Daphnia pulex: one gene and its partners. The main gene of each other region encodes a partner of the protein of the gene in region 3 in a complex. Links are inferred from orthologs where the notes say so. Each region holds a gene or a part of one and is shown on either strand. Other genes may lie near its edges. The genes, in order: actin-related protein 3, actin-related protein 2 and probable actin-related protein 2/3 complex subunit 2.

Region 1 (6,195 bases), on a different chromosome or scaffold from region 3:
ATCCCAACATACCTGACAGAATCGCTGATGATTAAGAGACAGACGCGAGCGACGTTCAAGCGGTTGAAGCTTGTTATGAAAACTGAAGAAGCAGCTTTCTGGTTGTCTCCTTTCCTGTGTGCTACTATTGAAAGCGTCGTGGGACTATGATGCGCGCGCAGAGGCTTTTCCCCCCTTCCAACACGGCCCCTAGCCCCACGGCTCGTCGTCCCCGATTCCCTCCATCATCCATTTTTGGTTTTTCTTTCTCCGTGTGCTGCTTCCAGGAGTTACGTTGGCTTGGACTAACGTGAGCACGCGCGCCAAAGTCTCAGCTAAGTATTGATCGGATTGATGAGACTAGACGTTGCATATTCAAACGTCAAGTGATGACTATCTCATGCTCGGACCGGAATAGGATCTTGCTATTCGATTACGAGCAATTCAATCAGACCCGAAATTTACTTACTGAGAATTTTCTGAAAGGGCCTCCGGCCATGGAAGAAGCTACGCATATAGTTATGCAAGTGAATGTTGTGATGTTTTTCAATAATCAACTCTATTTATAAAGAGATTTATATAGTATACAGGTATCAGTGTAGTACGTAAAAATAGAGCACCGACGACGAGTCCATAAAAGTGCTAAAAGTCTGTAAAGAAAAATTGGCGATCGTTACATTTGATCCTACAGGAAGCAAACCGTTTTCAATATACCCGTGTTCTTATAAGCTACTATTTTTGTAGCGCGTTGCCCAGCGATATTTATTACGTGATATTGACGGGCCCTGAATGAGGATTTCTATTTCCTGTCGTTGGCAGAAGAGAACGTTATTAGCTCTCTTTGGTGTAGCTAAGCTGAGTGAACTAAAACTCGATCCCAGTCGAGTATAAAGTTGACTTTTAAAAGAAAAATCGTCACGTCGTTGCTGTGTGGTTCCTTCCGCCGCTTTTGCTTCATGGAGTTTTTAAAAAGAAACTACTTGAGAGAGATATATGCGGTGTAGGGCGAATGGACAAAGGGAAAGTTTCAAGTATTCTTGTACAACTTCATTAGAATCGGGAAATGTCAGTATAGCTTATGGGATTAAATATGCCAACTTGCTGAAATTTGTCGTCACTTTGGCTGGTAATTTTAACGTACTTAACAGTTTGCAAGATTATGTCACCCCCCAAAAAAGCAATTGCTGTGTGTGAGTAATATGCTGATAGAGCGATAGATACGAAAGTGAGGGCTAAAATTCAAAAGCCATTAGGATGCGGTGTGACGCAGAGTCAACATTTTCCTTTAAGATAAAGAAATGAGAATATTAGCGATATAAGTTTTTCTTTTTAGTGTCAATATTCTCATAGAACATGACTGTCTCAAATTTAGTTGGAATGCCGTGTCATGCAGGAAAAGATGAGAATGTTCATTGTACAAACACAATGGCCGTACTGAAATGAAATGCTCCCCTGTAGATTTACCGTCTCGGTTTAAATAGCCTGTGGCGAGTTTTGCGCGTGTATAGAATGGTGAGTTTGACTTGCAGACCGAATCAGAATCCCCAGTTACTCGTTTACTGAACCGTTGGTTGCCACGAAAGCCCCATCCAATAAAATCTAATTGGTTTCAAGGGCAGGAAGCAAAAGATGGTAGGAAAGAAAATGAAAAGGAAACAACCCTTTTTTTTTTTAAATTGAAAATTCAAACTTGATTGCTAGACCAAAGATGAAAGAGCAGGGGTATCTGGTATCTTCGACTCGTGAGGATAGGGTCCGGATTTCCGGATAAATTTTTTTCTGTTTCTCATCAAGACCATAAATTTTTTTTATTGTTCCTTAAAATATCTTTTTTTTATGACGAAAACTTCTTTTTACGTCACATATGGTTGCCTTCTGATTTCACAAAAGTTCAATCAGATTCATTCAAATCACGCTAGATGTCTTCAAAATCTGGCGCAATTCAATTTTACCAATCGTTATGGGATGTTTTACTTCTTTAACGTCCACCGTTTATTAACCATTGGAATAACTGAACTATGGCCTTATCTCCGCATATGATAAATAAGATAACCTTACCATGTTTGTCTCATTAAAAAAAAAGAAAAAAAATCCTTATCAGATTGTCAGAGGAAGTTCTGTTGCCACCTGGTGGCCGTAGTCTGAAACTGCCAGGGGTGGGGATTGAACACTCATCGCTCTAGACGCTGCCGGTGTTTCGAATTAAGCTAATTTCGTTTACAATTTCTGTGTCTAATCACAATAAGGATTAAATCAGAGAAATAGTGTTAAAGGTTTTAAACAATAATTGTGTGAAATGACCGGAAGATTACCGGCTTGTGTGATTGACATCGGAACAGGGTAAGGATATGCTTTGGTCTGGTCTGTCTGACAGACTGCAATCTCATCTCAGTGTGCCTATTCTGGAAAGGTTGTTAACACTTCTAATAAATTTTTGTTTTTTTTTAGTTATTCCAAGCTTGGTTATGCTGGCAATAAAGAGCCTCAATACATTATACCTTCAGCCATTGCCATTAAAGAAACAGCAAAGGTTGGTGACCAAGCTTCGAGAAGGTTAGGAAAGGGAATCGAAGATCTTGACTTCTTTATTGGTGACGAAGCCCTCGAAGCAGGAAATGGGGGATATTCAGTCAAAGTATGACTTTTTTTCATTCATAACTTAAATTATCTTATTTTTAAGTAAGTTTTAATGCAAATGACAGTTTGTTTACATGATTGGTAACAAACACCTTACTTATGAGATTTGTCAATTCAGCTATTTTTCAAGTGGAAATAGTTATTATTGAAAACAGATCATTCATTTTGGTTTAATTACCATTGCAGTATCCTGTACGTCATGGGATTGTTGAAGATTGGGACCTTATGGAGCGGTTCTTAGAACAGAGCATATTCAAATATCTGCGAGCAGAACCAGAAGACCACCATTTCTTGCTAACAGAACCCCCTTTAAACACCCCGGAAAACAGGGAGTACACAGCAGAGATCATGTTTGAATCTTTCAACGTTCCCGGTCTGTACATAGCTGTTCAAGCAGTCCTTGCTCTGGCTGCCTCTTGGACCTCAAGGCAGTTGGGTGAAAGAACCTTGACTGGTATTGTGATTGATAGTGGTGATGGTGTTACCCATGTGATCCCAGTGGTAACTGATATTATTATAAATAATTTGCTTTTCATTTGGGCGCTTTCTAATTGTTGTCTTGATTTTTGTAGGCTGAAGGATATGTTATTGGAAGTTGCATAAAGCACATCCCAATTGCAGGTCGCAACATAACCTATTTCATTCAATCCCTTCTCCGTGAAAGAGAAATTGGCATTCCACCTGAGCAATCGCTCGAGACAGCCAAGGCTGTTAAAGAGCGCTACTGTTACATTTGTCCTGATATTGCAAAAGAATTTGCCAAGTACGATGCTGAGCCCAATAAATGGATGCAGAAATTCGAAGGCCTCAATTCCATCACCAAGCAGCCGTTTGGCGTTGATGTTGGCTATGAGCGTTTCTTAGGACCCGAGATTTTCTTTCACCCAGAGGTAGATTTTATTCATTTTCGTCTGCATTTTGCATTGGCTATTGTAGACCGAATCATGTTTTCATTCATTTTGATATTGCAGTTTGCCAACCCCGATTTCACGACCCCTATATCAGAAGTTGTTGACACAGTCATTCAAAACTGCCCTATTGATGTGAGGAGGCCATTGTACAAGAACATCGTATTGTCGGGTGGATCGACCATGTTTAAGGATTTTGGTCGGCGGTTGCAACGAGATATCAAGCGTGTTAGCGACGCTCGGCTCAAAATCAGTGAACAGCTGAGTGGAGGCAAACTGACGGTGAGTTTCCACTTGTATTTAAGAGTTGTGGTCGAATGGGTTGGCTGAACGGGATACGCGACGGTTCCCACATCCAGGAACTGGCGTAATAGTTGTAATTGAATATTTTTGTTCTTGGTTTACAGCCGAAACCTATTGACGTTCAAGTGGTATCGCACCACATGCAACGCTATGCGGTATGGTTCGGTGGAAGTCTACTTGCTTCAACGGTATGTGATAGCGATAAATTACGTAAGAAAGGAAATTAACTGACTTATCTTTTTTTTTTTTTTTTTGGCTTTCTCTCCCCGGTTTGCAGCCTGAATTTTATCAAGTGTGTCACACTAAAGCTGCGTATGAGGAGTACGGGCCGAGCATTTGTAGGCACAATCCAGTGTTTGGTACTATGACATAATTACCTGTAGAACAAAAACAAAAATCAAGGTACAGCGCGCAAAAAGGAAGCGCCATAAGGCATCGATCAGATCGAGGTTTCCTCTGTAATAATTCAACAATGTGTAAGGAGGGCCGTATCAAATGTAATTATCATTTTCACAGAGAGGAAAGTGAACAAGTTCTTTTCCGTTTATTTTTCTCCGTTTATCCTTCCTCATTTGACCCTCAATTTTTTTTTCCTACTAGCATTTGTTTTTGAATCCAGTCCGCTGTTTTTCCTGACACCATGCCTACCCCGTTTCCTCCCTCTCCCAAGTTGACTTGTCTCCCCCCCCCCCCTTTTACTCGAGAGAAATGATGGTGCTTGTTTGTTTTCCTCTTCCTTCTGGTCTTACTTTTCCTTTTTTTTTTTCCTTTTTCTACATACTTTCCAATTTTAAGTTCATGGGTGATTTAGGGTGAGCAACTTGAGTTGATTGGTAGAACCGGATTTGTTCAAGTGCCTGTTGTTTGTTGGCTTTTCTACCATTTTCCGTCTCTACTAAAAAAGAAAAGAAAGATGTTTTTCTTTCTTTGCGCCGTCGTGGTGTCTATTTGCCGAAATAATCAACTGGGTTCATTATCATCCTTAATTTTATTAAGTGATTCAGCATATACCGAATAATTGGATGACAGTCATTCCTTGTCTATTTGTCGTCGAGGCCAAGTGTGTGGTTGGGTGGAAGCGTTCGCTGTTGCAAATGAAGAAATCAATTCGATGCAAATGCAATCAAGTCGTTGAGAGCTAAATAGTAGTCTTCAATAGCCCCTTAAAGGTGATATTGGGGCGTAATGCAAAGTAACCTGTCCGATATGAATGACCCTAACGTATTTGATGTTCATACACGAAACCCTGCTATCCCTGATCACTCTATAACCACTTAATAACACACTACAGTCGTTATTTGTTGCATCAAAGACGCAATCAAACAGCTTTCCGTTCGCTCATCCGCAATCAGTCCGCCGTTCACCACCCCTTTTCTTCCAGTTCTATCGCTCCCTCCCCCTCTCTCATTATTTGAAATTGTTACATGAAGAAGAAAAAAAAAATTGAATTCTTGTCACTGGCATGTCATGGATTTAGATAATACATTACCCGAATACATTCTGTTTGGCTATATGTATATATATTTCGGTTGCGTGAATGTCTCTATAGACCACATATCGATGCACACATACTTCCTCCGCCATTATTATGTAAAAATCTTTTTTTAGTTTTATCGAGAAACGAAAATGTTGAGCATCGCGTGTGAGTCGTTGGGATTTGACGTCATAGAAGCTCGGCAGCTTTGTATGCTGATGGCATTGATTGCCGAAGGTGGTTTTTCTACACATGTGAAATTGTCTTTCGTGGAATGTTTTGGCTAAAGGGACGAGTTTTTCGACGGTTGGAATTCCAAACCAGATGACGTGATACCAGATCGTTATCTTTCCCTTTTCCCCCCTTATACTGCCTCCTCCAAAGGACAATTTGTTATTCGAAAAATACCAAATAACTGCCGAATGCCGATCCATTGCTGGTGTTAAGCAGTTTTGCATTCATAATGAGCTCGGAAAAGAAACGTTTCTTTTTTTTTTTTTTAAATCGAATGAGAGAATAATAAACTGTCGATTTCCTGTTTTTCCTGTTTAGTTGATAGGGAGACCGGCAGTCATTATACTGTACCGGGCAGGATTTCCGATGAAAACAAACTTTTTTTTTAAAACATTTATTTTTACCTACTATGCTGGAATGGAAACTTCCTCCCACGAATGTGTTTCTTTTCCCCTTTTGCCGAACCTTCCGATCCGTGATCTCATCCTGCGCTGGCTGCTGGCGACTAGAATTTCATCCACCCACAACAAACAAACATTGAGAAAGAGCGAGGCATATGCGCTAGAGGTTTTCTGTATATACTTTCCTTCTCGGTTACGTGTTTTAATTAACCATTTAAGGTATTTGCATTTCCCGGGGACGTTATAAACTGTTGGCGGG
Region 2 (6,154 bases), on a different chromosome or scaffold from region 3:
AGCCGCCGGAAATCACCGTCCAACTCCAACCAGTTGTTCTTCCGACTTCATACAACACGATCCCGGCACTGGTACCGCTTCACAGGTAGGAACTCGAGGTGGTGAATCAGTTGTCTCGTTCGATCATCAGGTTGTTGTTCCTTCGGATCAGGCTTACGTCATGTCGGGCGGCCTATCCTCTTCCAATTATGGACCGATGTACGACTGTAACAGGTACACAAAGAATGCCTCCTGATTTGATTGTGAAAACCAGTTGAAATAATCTACCGAAATTTAATTTGGAATGCTCAGATCCAGTTCTGAATCTGCCGCCATGGCCGGCAATCATCATCATCACCATTCGTCAACTTATGACGTCACTTCCGAAACGTCTGCCGGTAATTACAACAACAACAGCGGCGAAGGCCCTCCGTCGTACGTCAACAGTCAAGTAAATTTGATCCAGCAGCGGGGCTCTTACGGCGGCGGAGATAATAACCTCTCTGGGCAGAATTACCGGTAAATAACATCATATAAGACAGGCGCAAACCACCTATAAATTTACTACCAAGTGCCATCCTTTTTTGTATACTATTATCTACTGCCTCTTTTCTGTATGTTTCTCCTTTTTCGGTGTCAAACGACAACAAATCGGGACCAACTAAATGATTTCATGACGTACATGTATTTATCCGTTTCAAATTGTTTGTTCTCCTTCTCATCGCCCTGCGCAAAGACTAAAAGGTAGAGCTTCGGAAAAAAATAAGAAAAGAATTGTTGTTTAAATGTCAAATCGTAGTCATGGCCGCCTTCTTATCTTCTTTGTGTTAAAGAAAATGCAAGAAGTCAACGGAAAAAAAAAACTACATTCATTCTCCTATACTACGCCTGTGCCTTATCCGAGAATTCACATATCCTTGTGTGCATTTCTTGCGGCTGTTTTTTTTTTTTAAATAATGACGTTGTTAACCATTTTAAACTATGGCTTCATGGTCGTGCCCAGTGTAACCTTTTAAAAAGGTATTTCCCTTCGTTTTTTTTTCTTTCTCCTGTTGTTGCCTTGGGAATGTTAAATATGTCCTCCTCTCTGAAATTATCTGCTACCACGGCCATACTTTCCCCCTATGTGCAATAATAAAATTGCTTGAGTTTTCTTCTCTCGCCTGATTAGTTGCTATAATTACAGAGGCTATTTTTGTTTATTCAGCCAGAATTTGGGGGTCAACAAAAATTAGGGAGGGCGGGAATGTGAACCCAGCAACATGAAAAAAAAAAATGGACATCTGATTAGTAATAACATGACCTTCGATGGGAATCGGAAAAGAGGAACGAGCGTTTAAAATTGCGCGTTAGGAGCGGTTGACCAGTTTGTCCAGCACGCGGATGCCACGCTCATTGTACTCTTCCCTCGACATCCAGAAAGATTCTTTGTCTTTCATGACATCGGCCAATACGGCACCACCAATGAAAACCATGTCTTTACGGCGAGGAGGATCTTCAATACGAATTTTGAATTTCTGCGTGCCAAGAAAAGAGTAGTAAGTAAAATGTACGTCTAGAACACAAAATTTCATCGTTGTACCGTAAGTTTCTCCGTGTCGCCTTTAAGAACTCGTTCAAGGTACAGCTGTTTGATTTCCCGTTCGAGCCTAGACGGAAGTCCGGGATACATGGTTGAACCGCCTGAAAGGACGATGTGTTTGTATAGCGACGGGCGGACATCGATGTCGGCCGCTTGGATAGTCGAGAAGACTAGCTCGGCGATTCCTGACCCTTCAACGTTGATCAAGTGAGGCTGGAAAAGCGCTTCAGGGGCTTCGAACCGTTCACCACCCACTTTGATGACGCGCCCATCTGGAAGCTTTTTTAGAAATCGAATTTTTTGGTTTTTAAATATGCCATGGCCACAGCGACTCGAAGGTAGAATAAAGGGAAACTTACTGTGTATGATTCGACTAAAACGGTTGTTTCGAGAGCCAGTTTTTGTTCCGTTTCAATGTTATAGCCAATATAACAAAGTTTTTCTTTCAACTGGCGAACAGTTTCAAAGTCTGCCGTATGATTGAATGCGTAGCCTCTCAGCAGCAAGAGCTATAAAGAGGAATATTACTGAATTCATGCCAAACTATTGCGGGATGGATCATTGATTCTACCTTGATGAGATATCGGGTAATATCTCTTCCGGCAATGTCAAGACGTCTGGTTAAGTGAGGCATTGCAAACCCTTCGTACACAGGACAAATGTGAGTGACACCGTCTCCAGAATCGACAACAACTCCCGTCAGCAGACCCTGTGCGTAAAGTGTTAGAACTGCTTGGATGGCCACGTAGGTTCCGGCAAATCCATATTTTTCGAACATGACCTGTAACAAACGGCACAAAGATTCGAATTTTTACACACCCATTTCCACCACCACCATTGAAACATGGTGACAATTAAAAACATTTACCTCAATCATTTTCTCGCGATTCTTCAAAGGGTTCATCGGAGGCTCTGTTAGCAAGACCTTACATTGGTGAGGGTCAATGTTCATTTTCTCAGGGCCAAAAGTGTAATCCCACACATGACACATGTCTTCCCAATTCCTAAGGAACACAAACAAGCAGATTTATAAACACCAGTTCAAATTTAATAAATGTATCGATATATACCTAACGATTCCGTTTTCCATAGGGTAGTTCACTTCAAGCATTGAGCGAAGTTTACTCGCGTCATCTCCGACCATTAAATCCTGTTGATAAAAGTCTTCATTAATTTAGATTCAATTAAAAAGAACACTAAGTTACATGCAACTAAACATCAATGCAAAATTCCAACAAACAATATCACACCATAAAGTGCTCAATACTTACAGATATGTGAGCAAATCCCTGATTGAAAGGCAAGCAATTAAGCCAAAATCATGATTCAGTTCATTAGAAAATAACAAAACCTTTTTTTACAATCAAAATCAAAACTCCACAAAGACATTCATGTTATAGGACGGCACAAGTTGGTTTTTTACTATCACTGTTATGACTTTATAGGTTTTTAAACTATATCTGTGTTATAAGAACATGACACAGATTTTTTTAAATGCAAAACATGTGAGATTCCCTCTGTACTTATCCTTGGAATGTCACCTTAATTTGATAACCCTAGAAAGTTTTGTGTGATGTCGAAACCATGGAAATGGACAGTAAGATCGAAACTGCTTGAAAGAAAAGAATTTTATCATACCTTCACTTCGATGTCACCAATTTTGTTGGCAGCGCGAATGATAGGTCGTCCAACCAAAGATGGGAAGATATGTGCTGGAAAGTTTGATCCTGCATATCCAACTTTGACAAACTATCCAACATTGATAAAGGTGAGTTGCTAGTTTGCTACATGGCCGGCAAAACAACATTAATAAATATTTCAAAAGAAAAAAATAACTCACCCCTGTTCCATTATCACAAACTAATACTTTTCTTCCTTGACTATCCATCTCAAAGTTTGTTAATAGTTGATTTTATATTGATAATCTCAATTCGTGAACAATACGACACACAATTTGACAGCGCCCTAAAACCAAAACTACTTCCCGTCGGAGCCAGACGATAGCAGCTCATGGGGGTTGGGAGTTGCCACGGCAACCGATTGCTTAACATCATTGGTTAATCCAGCTGGTTAATCAGTTAACTCTGGTTTTAAATGACTATCTCGAATCGTTATAAAATATTTGAGATAAAGTTTCTTAAAAAAAATTTTGAAATTGTAAAGTATAGATTTTAAATTAATTTGTGAACTACATTATTTTGATGCAATGATTTATCTGAAGAATTTTGGCAACGCCGTTAATCAACCGGGAAATTCAAAATGTTCAATAACAGACAAAAAAGAATTAAATAAATTAAACGAATGAATTGTATATGCATACTAAAGTCAAATACTCTTACCAACACTGAATATTATCCATTGAAGCATGCAACACTAGAACATCTTCTTTAAAGAACATGAAACCAAACTGGCCAAAATCATAGGAAGGCTGAGGAAACTAAATTGAGTAAATTCCTTGGCAAAGCAAGAACTTGATGATGCATTCAAATTTAAAAAGGATATTTCAAAGATTTTTTGCCATTCTTTTATTCCAAGCCTGTTCATGCTGTACACATGTTGTACATTACCAAATTTTCAAAATTTTTCATGTTATCAAATCAGATCACAAAACAGCCTTTACTGAAAAATATTTAGGTAGCAATTCTTGATATACTTTTAGATCTTTATCTAAAAACACACAGAATATCACTCTTTCCAATGTTGATTCATCACTTTCAAGAAATTTTCTTGTTGTTAACAATGCTACTGCAGCTGCATCTCTATTGGGGTAACCATAAACCCCAGTTGAAATGCAGGGAAATACCTAATTAAAATTTTGAAGATGAAGAAATGGAATCCCTAAAAGGTACTAGAATGTAAAATCATGACTTACTATTGTTTTTAGTTCATTTTTATTCGCAAGTTTAAGACTATTAGAATAACAATCAGACAGCAAGTTAGAGTCTTGGTCCATAGGTCCAACAGTCTGAATCACATCTGGAAACATAAATACTGTATAGAAACAGGATATCATTCATACTTTTTCTAGAGAAAAATTTACACTTTGCAGGTAGTTTGTATCCTCCTGTCAGTTTAGCATCCCCTGTTTGACAACCACCTTTGATAGATTGACATTCTTCAAGAAGATAAGGACCAGCTGCTTTATGAATTGCTCCATCAACTGTTGAGGTAACACAAAACATTGATAAACAATTTAGAAATTTTCAATATTCTTTATTAAATTTCACCTCCACCACCACCAGCCAACCTGCTATTGGCTGCATTGACAATCGCTCCAACTTCTAGTTGAGTTATATCCCCTTTCCAAAGAGAAACTTTAGAATTGATTGATAAATTGGGTTTTAAATCAGTATTGTTTCCATCTGATGTAGAATGGGGAATTTCTTTTGATGTCTCTTCCCAAGTTGGAATCTCTTTCACTGAAACACAATGTTGATTTCGAGTTGCAGTGCTTTTTTCAAAGTACTCTGTAAAGAATGTAATTACATGATAAAGCAACCACAGCCTTCTTCAAATTCTAATTATACCTTTGGCTTCCTGCCAATTTTTGAATTCTTTCGCCATAATGGAAATTGATTTATTGAAATATCCCTTCGGTATTAAATATTTACCAATCGTTTGAATGAAATACATACACTACGTTGTTATGTACGAAGCGATTTTCAGGCGATTTTTAGGTGTGTGTTAGTCAGCTGTTAGTACTGATCGGCTAGTCGGCTGCTGGTGATTGCCTAAATCTAAAGGTAAACAATTGCAAATCGTCATAATTTATTTTAAATTACATTAATATATAGATTATGTAATTCATTGATAATTCAAAGTTTTAATATGTAAAGTATTTGGAAAATTTTCATGTTGCATCTGGTATGTTCCTTAAAATATTTCCTTTCCGTTTTCTTTGAGTGTTTAGGGATTTATTGGTAAGCGGCTATCCTGCCATTTTCGTGAATGAGAAAAGTAGACTGAGTGTAGACGACGGAAGACATTTTGGATTGCATCTGTGAGCAACTTGCATAGGTAAATATATTTTACTGTGCGTCTCCTTTCTTGTTAAACTTTGTATTGCATTACCGATTAATTTGTTGTGAGATCTGTTTGTAGTTTCCAAATATTTGTGAAGGCTAAATGATCTATACTCTCAGGTCATCAACATGTTTGCGACTCGAACCCGGCTAGCTGTTCGTCAAGGAACAGTCCTGCAGAGGCAGTTTGGAATATCTGCAGTTGTTGCTAATAAAGCAGTTGATCCCATTCAGAAACTCTTTTTGGACAAACTGAATGAGTACAAAGTCAAGAGCAAGTATGTATTAGATTTTATCATTTCTGTTACCATCTGTTAATTATTGGTGTTCTTTAGAGCTGCCGGAGGAAAATTGGTCGACCCATCTCCTGCTATCCAGAAAGATATTGCAACTGAGCTGGACAGAGTTCGCCGTGTTTATGGTGGAGCTGATGGAGCCGATATGACCAAGTTCCCCACTTTCAACTTCCCTGAACCCAAAGTTGATCCCATTAATTCTTAAACACTGAGAAAAATATAGTAGTGGTAAGACATTAAGATTGCTATGGATCTTCAATTCTTCATTGAAGACT
Region 3 (5,409 bases):
GTGTCTAAATTCCTGGCAGGAAATTATTAAAAAGCCAGGACTCACTTGCCAGTCCAGAATTTGCAGTATTCATTTTGAAGAGAACGACATACTTAAAGGGAGAGAAATTCAAGGCGTGTTTTACAGTTATCCGAAATGGAAATTAAAATCAGGTGCTCGGCCCAGTAAATTGCTAGGTATTCTCAAATTTTAATTATCCATGACAATGTTAAGTTATACTAATACTGCTAATTCTGTATGTTTCTAACAGGAAATGATGTCAGCGTACTCGAAAGACCTGCTGCAAAGAAGTATGTTCACAGTGATAGGTTTAAGTCACCATATCGAAATATAACAGCAAAGTCTAAAGCTGCTAATCCTAAGCTGCAGTTGGACAATCAATCATTTTTGTCGAATAACAACACCAATGTATTGATCCCATCACATGCAAAGAAGTCAACGTCAAATAGCATAGGTAAATTAAAAACTAAGTGTAATAAGATATTTTTTAAAAACATGACATGTTATGTTACAGCTATACACCAACTTGACGCTGAAAAAGGAAAAGTAAATGATATGGAAGCAGCTGAACCTGTGGCATTACCATGTGTAACAACAGAAGACATGTTCCAGGAACCTACTACTGAAACACTCCTACACATTCCACCTGAAAAAGAACTACAATCTGAATCTGAATCTCAATTGAGAGTAGAATTTGAACCAAATGATATGGAAGTGGATGAACTGATTGGAGCACCGGGTGAAATGACAGAAGAAATGTTACAAGAAAATTCAGAACAAACAGCACGGGAGACAGAAATGGAAGGATACCTTGACCCAGCTACATACACTGATGTTATTGCGAGAGTCAAACTACCTTCCTCTTCGTGGATGTGGCAAGAAGATAAGGTTAACAAAACCCTCGTGTGTTTCAGTCATTCATTTTCTCCAGATCGCAAAATTGTAATAAAAACAATCTCAGTTGTCTCCATGAATAAGGTGGAATTGTTCCTCAATGGAAAACAAATATTTCCCCGTAATGTTAAGACTAATTTCAATGTAATTGAAGATTTATCTAACATTATTGGTGCCGTGGAAGTAAGCAATGTGTGTGATGGAATTGTTGAACTATCACTAGCGAATGTTTGTGTGACGTCCCGATGTAGCGCTGTGAAAGACGGAAAAATCATACGATCTAACCGGTGCACAGGACTTACTGAAAACAATGTTTGTTTGAATTGCAAATTCCTTAAGAAATATCTGATGACTCGCAAGAAACAATTAGGTTGTAAGGCTGAGAGGACAGGAATTCAAAAGAAAAACCAACAGCAAAAGAGAAATTTAGCAATGAGAAGAATTCTCCAACAAGGAAAAGTAATTATTTTTTTGTTATTCATAAATTAACATACGATTACTATTAATATATTTTCTATTTGTAATTTTAGTTGGTCTCTGGAATTGTGTCAAATTTAGAAAAAGAAAAGCAGACTTTGACTATTACAAACCAAAAATTGATTAAGGAACAGAAAAAGAATAACTTTGACGAAAAACTAAAGTGCCTGAGTCCTACGGTAACAATGAAATACTAATTTAATTACCTCATGACTAGACTATATGTATGCTTCCCTATTTGACCAATGTTTTCCAATTATTTCGATAGAGATATCATTCCTTATTCCAACCCTCACATTTGTGAAATCCAACTTATTCGCAAGACTATTCAAAAATAATATTCCAGACGATTGACAATGACATTCCATACTTACTAAAGACCATATCATATATCAGTTTATTAATAGATTTTTCAAATCTCTATCAGGAACAGTTAATCGTGAAAACTATGATGGACAAAGCTAAAGCAAAACCGGGAAAAGATAACTGTAAGAAAGGAATGCGTTACGACCCTTTATTTTTGATGCATTGTCTTCAAATTCGACTTAAAAGCAGCAAGACATATAGACATTTGAAAGCAAATGGAATTTTACCACTTCCGAGTCTTGAAAGCATAAGGAAGTTATTAAGCTCCACTGACTGCCGTTAATACACATTACAAGTTATAAATTGAACCAATGAAATCTATTGTTATCATCTGAAATTAATCTTAATTAGAAAATCGTCAATCAATCTGTTTAACGGATGCGCAAAGTACGCATAGCTCTGATTTGTTTACGAGGGACTTAGAAAATTTCTGTGTTGTTTCAGTGTAAGCTTCCACCCTTCCAACACCAGGTCGCGGGGCTGTCGCAGTAACCAAAGATCACAAAAAAATCAGCTGCCTTATGGGACCTTATAACACAGACAGTGGGAACCATTATATCAACAACCATGGTCTTTGTCTATGACACCATGCTGGTGCTTGCGTACCGCACCTGCTTTGTTGAAATCTGGCAAACGGCAAGTCCACTCCCTTTTCTTTTGTGGTTGTCTTGTGAGTTGTGACAGATAACATTAACATTTCCTTGTGTGCTGACTATGTTGAAATTTGTTTAATTTTGTGATACAAGTCATCACATTCACATTTCGTCGCGATGATTCTTCTGGAAATAAATAACAAAATTGTTGAAGATACCCTTACAGTTAAAATAAAAAATTCGCTTGCCGGGTAAATAATTTATATACATTTGTTTTTGAATTGCTACGAAACATATTATTCCTAATTTGTATAGAAATAAACCGGATTCCGTAAATGTAGTCATTGCTGATTTCGATGGGGTTCTTTTTCATATTGCCAACCCTGATTCTGATAAATCCAAAGTTCGAGTAAGTTATTAGAAAGAAAACCTTATAAATGAAATGTTGCAGGATTAATTAATTGTTATTTTTATAGGTTAGCATTTCACTGAAATTCTATAAAGACCTTCAGGAACATGGTGCTGATGAGTTACTAAAAAGAGAATATGGGAACCTACTATGTCAAGCTGAAGATGGTATGTGTAATATCCTATTGGTGAAAAGGTTTTATTTATCTTCTTTGTTTATTTATCCTTTTTTTTTTTTGAAGGGTACAATATTTCCCTTGTTTTGGATTTGGATAACATACCTGGCAATTGGGAAGAAATAGTAAAAAAAATTGGACTGCTGAAAAGAAATTGCTTTGCATCTGTTTTTGAGAAGTATTTTGAATTTCAGGAAAAGGGTAAAAAAATAATGAGCAAAAGCAATACTCTGAAATTCTATAATTTTTCTTTTCTAATAAGGTGAAGAAGGGCACAAGAGAGCAGTTATCAATTATCGTGATGAAGAGACATTGTACATAGAAGCTAAGGCAGACAGAGTAACAGTAGTGTTCAGCACTGTATTCCGTGATGAGGATGATATTGTGTTAGGTAAAGTTTTCTTACAAGAACTTCGCGAAGGTCGCCGAGCTTCTCACACTGCCCCACAAGTTCTTTTTTCTCACCGAGAACCTCCTCTGGAACTTCAAAGTACAAATGCTAAAATTGGTGACAATATTGGATACATTACATTTGGTATGAAATCATTTCTATTTTTACACATGGATTTCTGTAAAATTTATGTCATAATTCTTTTTAGTCTTGTTTCCACGGCATACGAACAAAAACGTCCGCGAAAATACCATTAATTTGATTCATCTCTTCCGTGACTATTTGCACTACCACATCAAATGTAGCAAAGCCTACATTCATTCACGCATGAGAGCCAAAACTTCTGATTTTTTGAAAGTATTAAACCGAGCTCGACCTGAACCAAAAACGGTGGAAAAGAAAACGATCACCGGCCGTACTTTCATTCGTACTCCATGATGTTTAAATGCACATTTTCCCTGTTTACCTAATTAGGATTTCTTCATTGATTAAATTGTAACGCTTAGTTTCACATTTTTCAATAATACACTAGCTTCTCATTAATGACAGACCACATTTATTTCTTGTAACTGCTTACAAAAACGGTTCAATATTCAACTCCAAAGCTGAACATGGAAGATTTAAATCAAAGGATGTCACAACATCAGGATGTAAGACTCCGACGATTCCGACAACAGTGCCAGCAAAAATGATTTGGGCGCATCGTCCGGGGAAAAAAGTTGCATCTGTAAATTTTATAGCTTTAGAAGAAGGTAATCAAAATATTGATGCAGTATATGAAATGAACCTTCGCATGGTTTCAGGAAGTATCCCTTGCTGCCACTCTGATCCAGTGGAACTTCCAACAATTGCATTAAGCGATCTAGTAAACCATGAACTAATTCAAATCCAGGCGACTTATTGTAATAAACGGCGCACAGATTGCGGCAATTACGAGCTCCAACATCTCGCTGACTGTCTTTCACTACCACATCGGATACTTCAAATAGCTTGAAGAACAGAAACCATATGTTTTACAACTTTTATAACTTATCTTATTAAATAAATAGGTTTTACCTTCATGGGCAAAGGCATTTTCCTATTGGCAGCGATAGTTTTGAGCAAACCTGAAAGTAAGGTCGTGCGTGCTACTTGGAACTCCAAAGTTTTCGGATTGGAAACATGAACTGCAGGAACGGAGTTCAGAGGTTTCCTCAGCTTTTCGCTTATGTCTTCCTTCGAGCACAACGAAAATGTGAGAGCCTCTGTGAAACCGGCTTGAGCAAGCTGGTCTCTCAACTGATCTGACAGCTTATTTAGGGGAAACTGTGAAGCTATGGTGTTAGTTTTCGGTAGAGTTTTGGTTATGTTATTGTATCCAAAAGCAATCGCCACATCTTCATAGACATCACACGCATGAATGATATCATGACGAGTGGGGGGTATTTCAACCTGCCAGGGAATATTTTTACATGAATTTTCAAAATCCTATAATTTAACCATTACATTTTTTTTACCGAAATGGAACCAGTTCCTTCCACGGTGGCAGTTAAACACATTCGGGTGAGTAAATTTGCGATTTCGTCAGCTTTTTCGTTGATACCCACCATTGTATTGATCTTGTCAACACTGATTTTCTCATGTCGATTTTTTAAAATCGGATAGTTGTTGATTTTTCCTTCTGGAGTCTCTACTTCGCATATCTCCACAGTAAACTGATCCCCGCAGTACCTAGAAAACATACAGACCAAAGTGTCCAAAACGATGCTAGCCTAAAAGAAGACATTTAAACAATTAAAGAAGCAATTTAAAAAATTGCATTTTCATAAAGGCAATTTACCTTGGTTAGGTCTGTAGCAGTGCATTCAATGAAAACATTTTTCGTATCTAAGGTAATTTTTGAATGTTCACCATTGATAATAGGTGGCATAGAAAGAACTACTCCATTACTGTCCTTGATAACAGGATAGACTGAACTATCGCGTATAATTGGTAAATAGTGGCGAAGATGGCTATCAGTCTGAATTAGTAAAAAATGATTATCTTTAATTTTTAAAAGCATAAAATGACACAATTGATAGATAGATTACTGAATACAAGTCCATTAACTGAGAAGCAGTAAACT

Evidence for each region.
Region 1: probable actin-related protein 2/3 complex subunit 2 (region 3) and actin-related protein 3 share a complex: the UniProt entries of both Drosophila melanogaster proteins name them as parts of the arp2/3 complex. The link is inferred for Daphnia pulex from reciprocal best matches to the Drosophila melanogaster genes Arpc2 and Arp3.
Region 2: probable actin-related protein 2/3 complex subunit 2 (region 3) and actin-related protein 2 share a complex: the UniProt entries of both Drosophila melanogaster proteins name them as parts of the arp2/3 complex. The link is inferred for Daphnia pulex from reciprocal best matches to the Drosophila melanogaster genes Arpc2 and Arp2.

Annotation. Positions count from the first base shown.
Region 1 is NC_060017.1:5,489,538-5,495,732, reverse strand, and holds actin-related protein 3, read left to right. Parts: upstream 1-2,112; 5' UTR 2,113-2,275; coding exon 2,276-2,319; intron 2,320-2,427; coding exon 2,428-2,614; intron 2,615-2,802; coding exon 2,803-3,117; intron 3,118-3,188; coding exon 3,189-3,506; intron 3,507-3,587; coding exon 3,588-3,806; intron 3,807-3,931; coding exon 3,932-4,015; intron 4,016-4,104; coding exon 4,105-4,200; 3' UTR 4,201-5,325; downstream 5,326-6,195. UniProt on the Drosophila melanogaster protein: Functions as ATP-binding component of the Arp2/3 complex which is involved in regulation of actin polymerization and together with an activating nucleation-promoting factor (NPF) mediates the formation of branched actin networks.
Region 2 is NC_060020.1:5,357,853-5,364,006, forward strand, and holds actin-related protein 2, read right to left. Parts: upstream 3,595-6,154; 5' UTR 3,450-3,594; coding exon 3,402-3,449; intron 3,311-3,401; coding exon 3,200-3,310; intron 2,712-3,199; coding exon 2,632-2,711; intron 2,566-2,631; coding exon 2,430-2,565; intron 2,343-2,429; coding exon 2,133-2,342; intron 2,071-2,132; coding exon 1,921-2,070; intron 1,841-1,920; coding exon 1,562-1,840; intron 1,497-1,561; coding exon 1,329-1,496; 3' UTR 1,160-1,328; downstream 1-1,159. Other genes in the region: activating transcription factor 3-like, read left to right, coding at 3-213, 292-502; macro domain-containing protein CT2219-like, read right to left, coding at 4,164-4,364, 4,434-4,537, 4,602-4,721, 4,789-5,028, 5,086-5,194; ATP synthase-coupling factor 6, mitochondrial-like, read left to right, coding at 5,713-5,861, 5,919-6,084. UniProt on the Drosophila melanogaster protein: Functions as ATP-binding component of the Arp2/3 complex which is involved in regulation of actin polymerization and together with an activating nucleation-promoting factor (NPF) mediates the formation of branched actin networks.
Region 3 is NC_060024.1:1,047,177-1,052,585, reverse strand, and holds probable actin-related protein 2/3 complex subunit 2, read left to right. Parts: upstream 1-2,360; 5' UTR 2,361-2,507; coding exon 2,508-2,581; intron 2,582-2,645; coding exon 2,646-2,739; intron 2,740-2,806; coding exon 2,807-2,906; intron 2,907-2,980; coding exon 2,981-3,115; intron 3,116-3,176; coding exon 3,177-3,449; intron 3,450-3,513; coding exon 3,514-3,743; 3' UTR 3,744-3,878; downstream 3,879-5,409. Other genes in the region: uncharacterized protein LOC124201224, read left to right, coding at 556-1,353, 1,425-1,550, 1,799-2,020; phenylalanine--tRNA ligase beta subunit-like, read right to left, coding at 3,879-4,030, 4,093-4,294, 4,362-4,736, 4,802-5,056, 5,125-5,304, 5,375-5,409. UniProt on the Drosophila melanogaster protein: Functions as actin-binding component of the Arp2/3 complex which is involved in regulation of actin polymerization and together with an activating nucleation-promoting factor (NPF) mediates the formation of branched actin networks.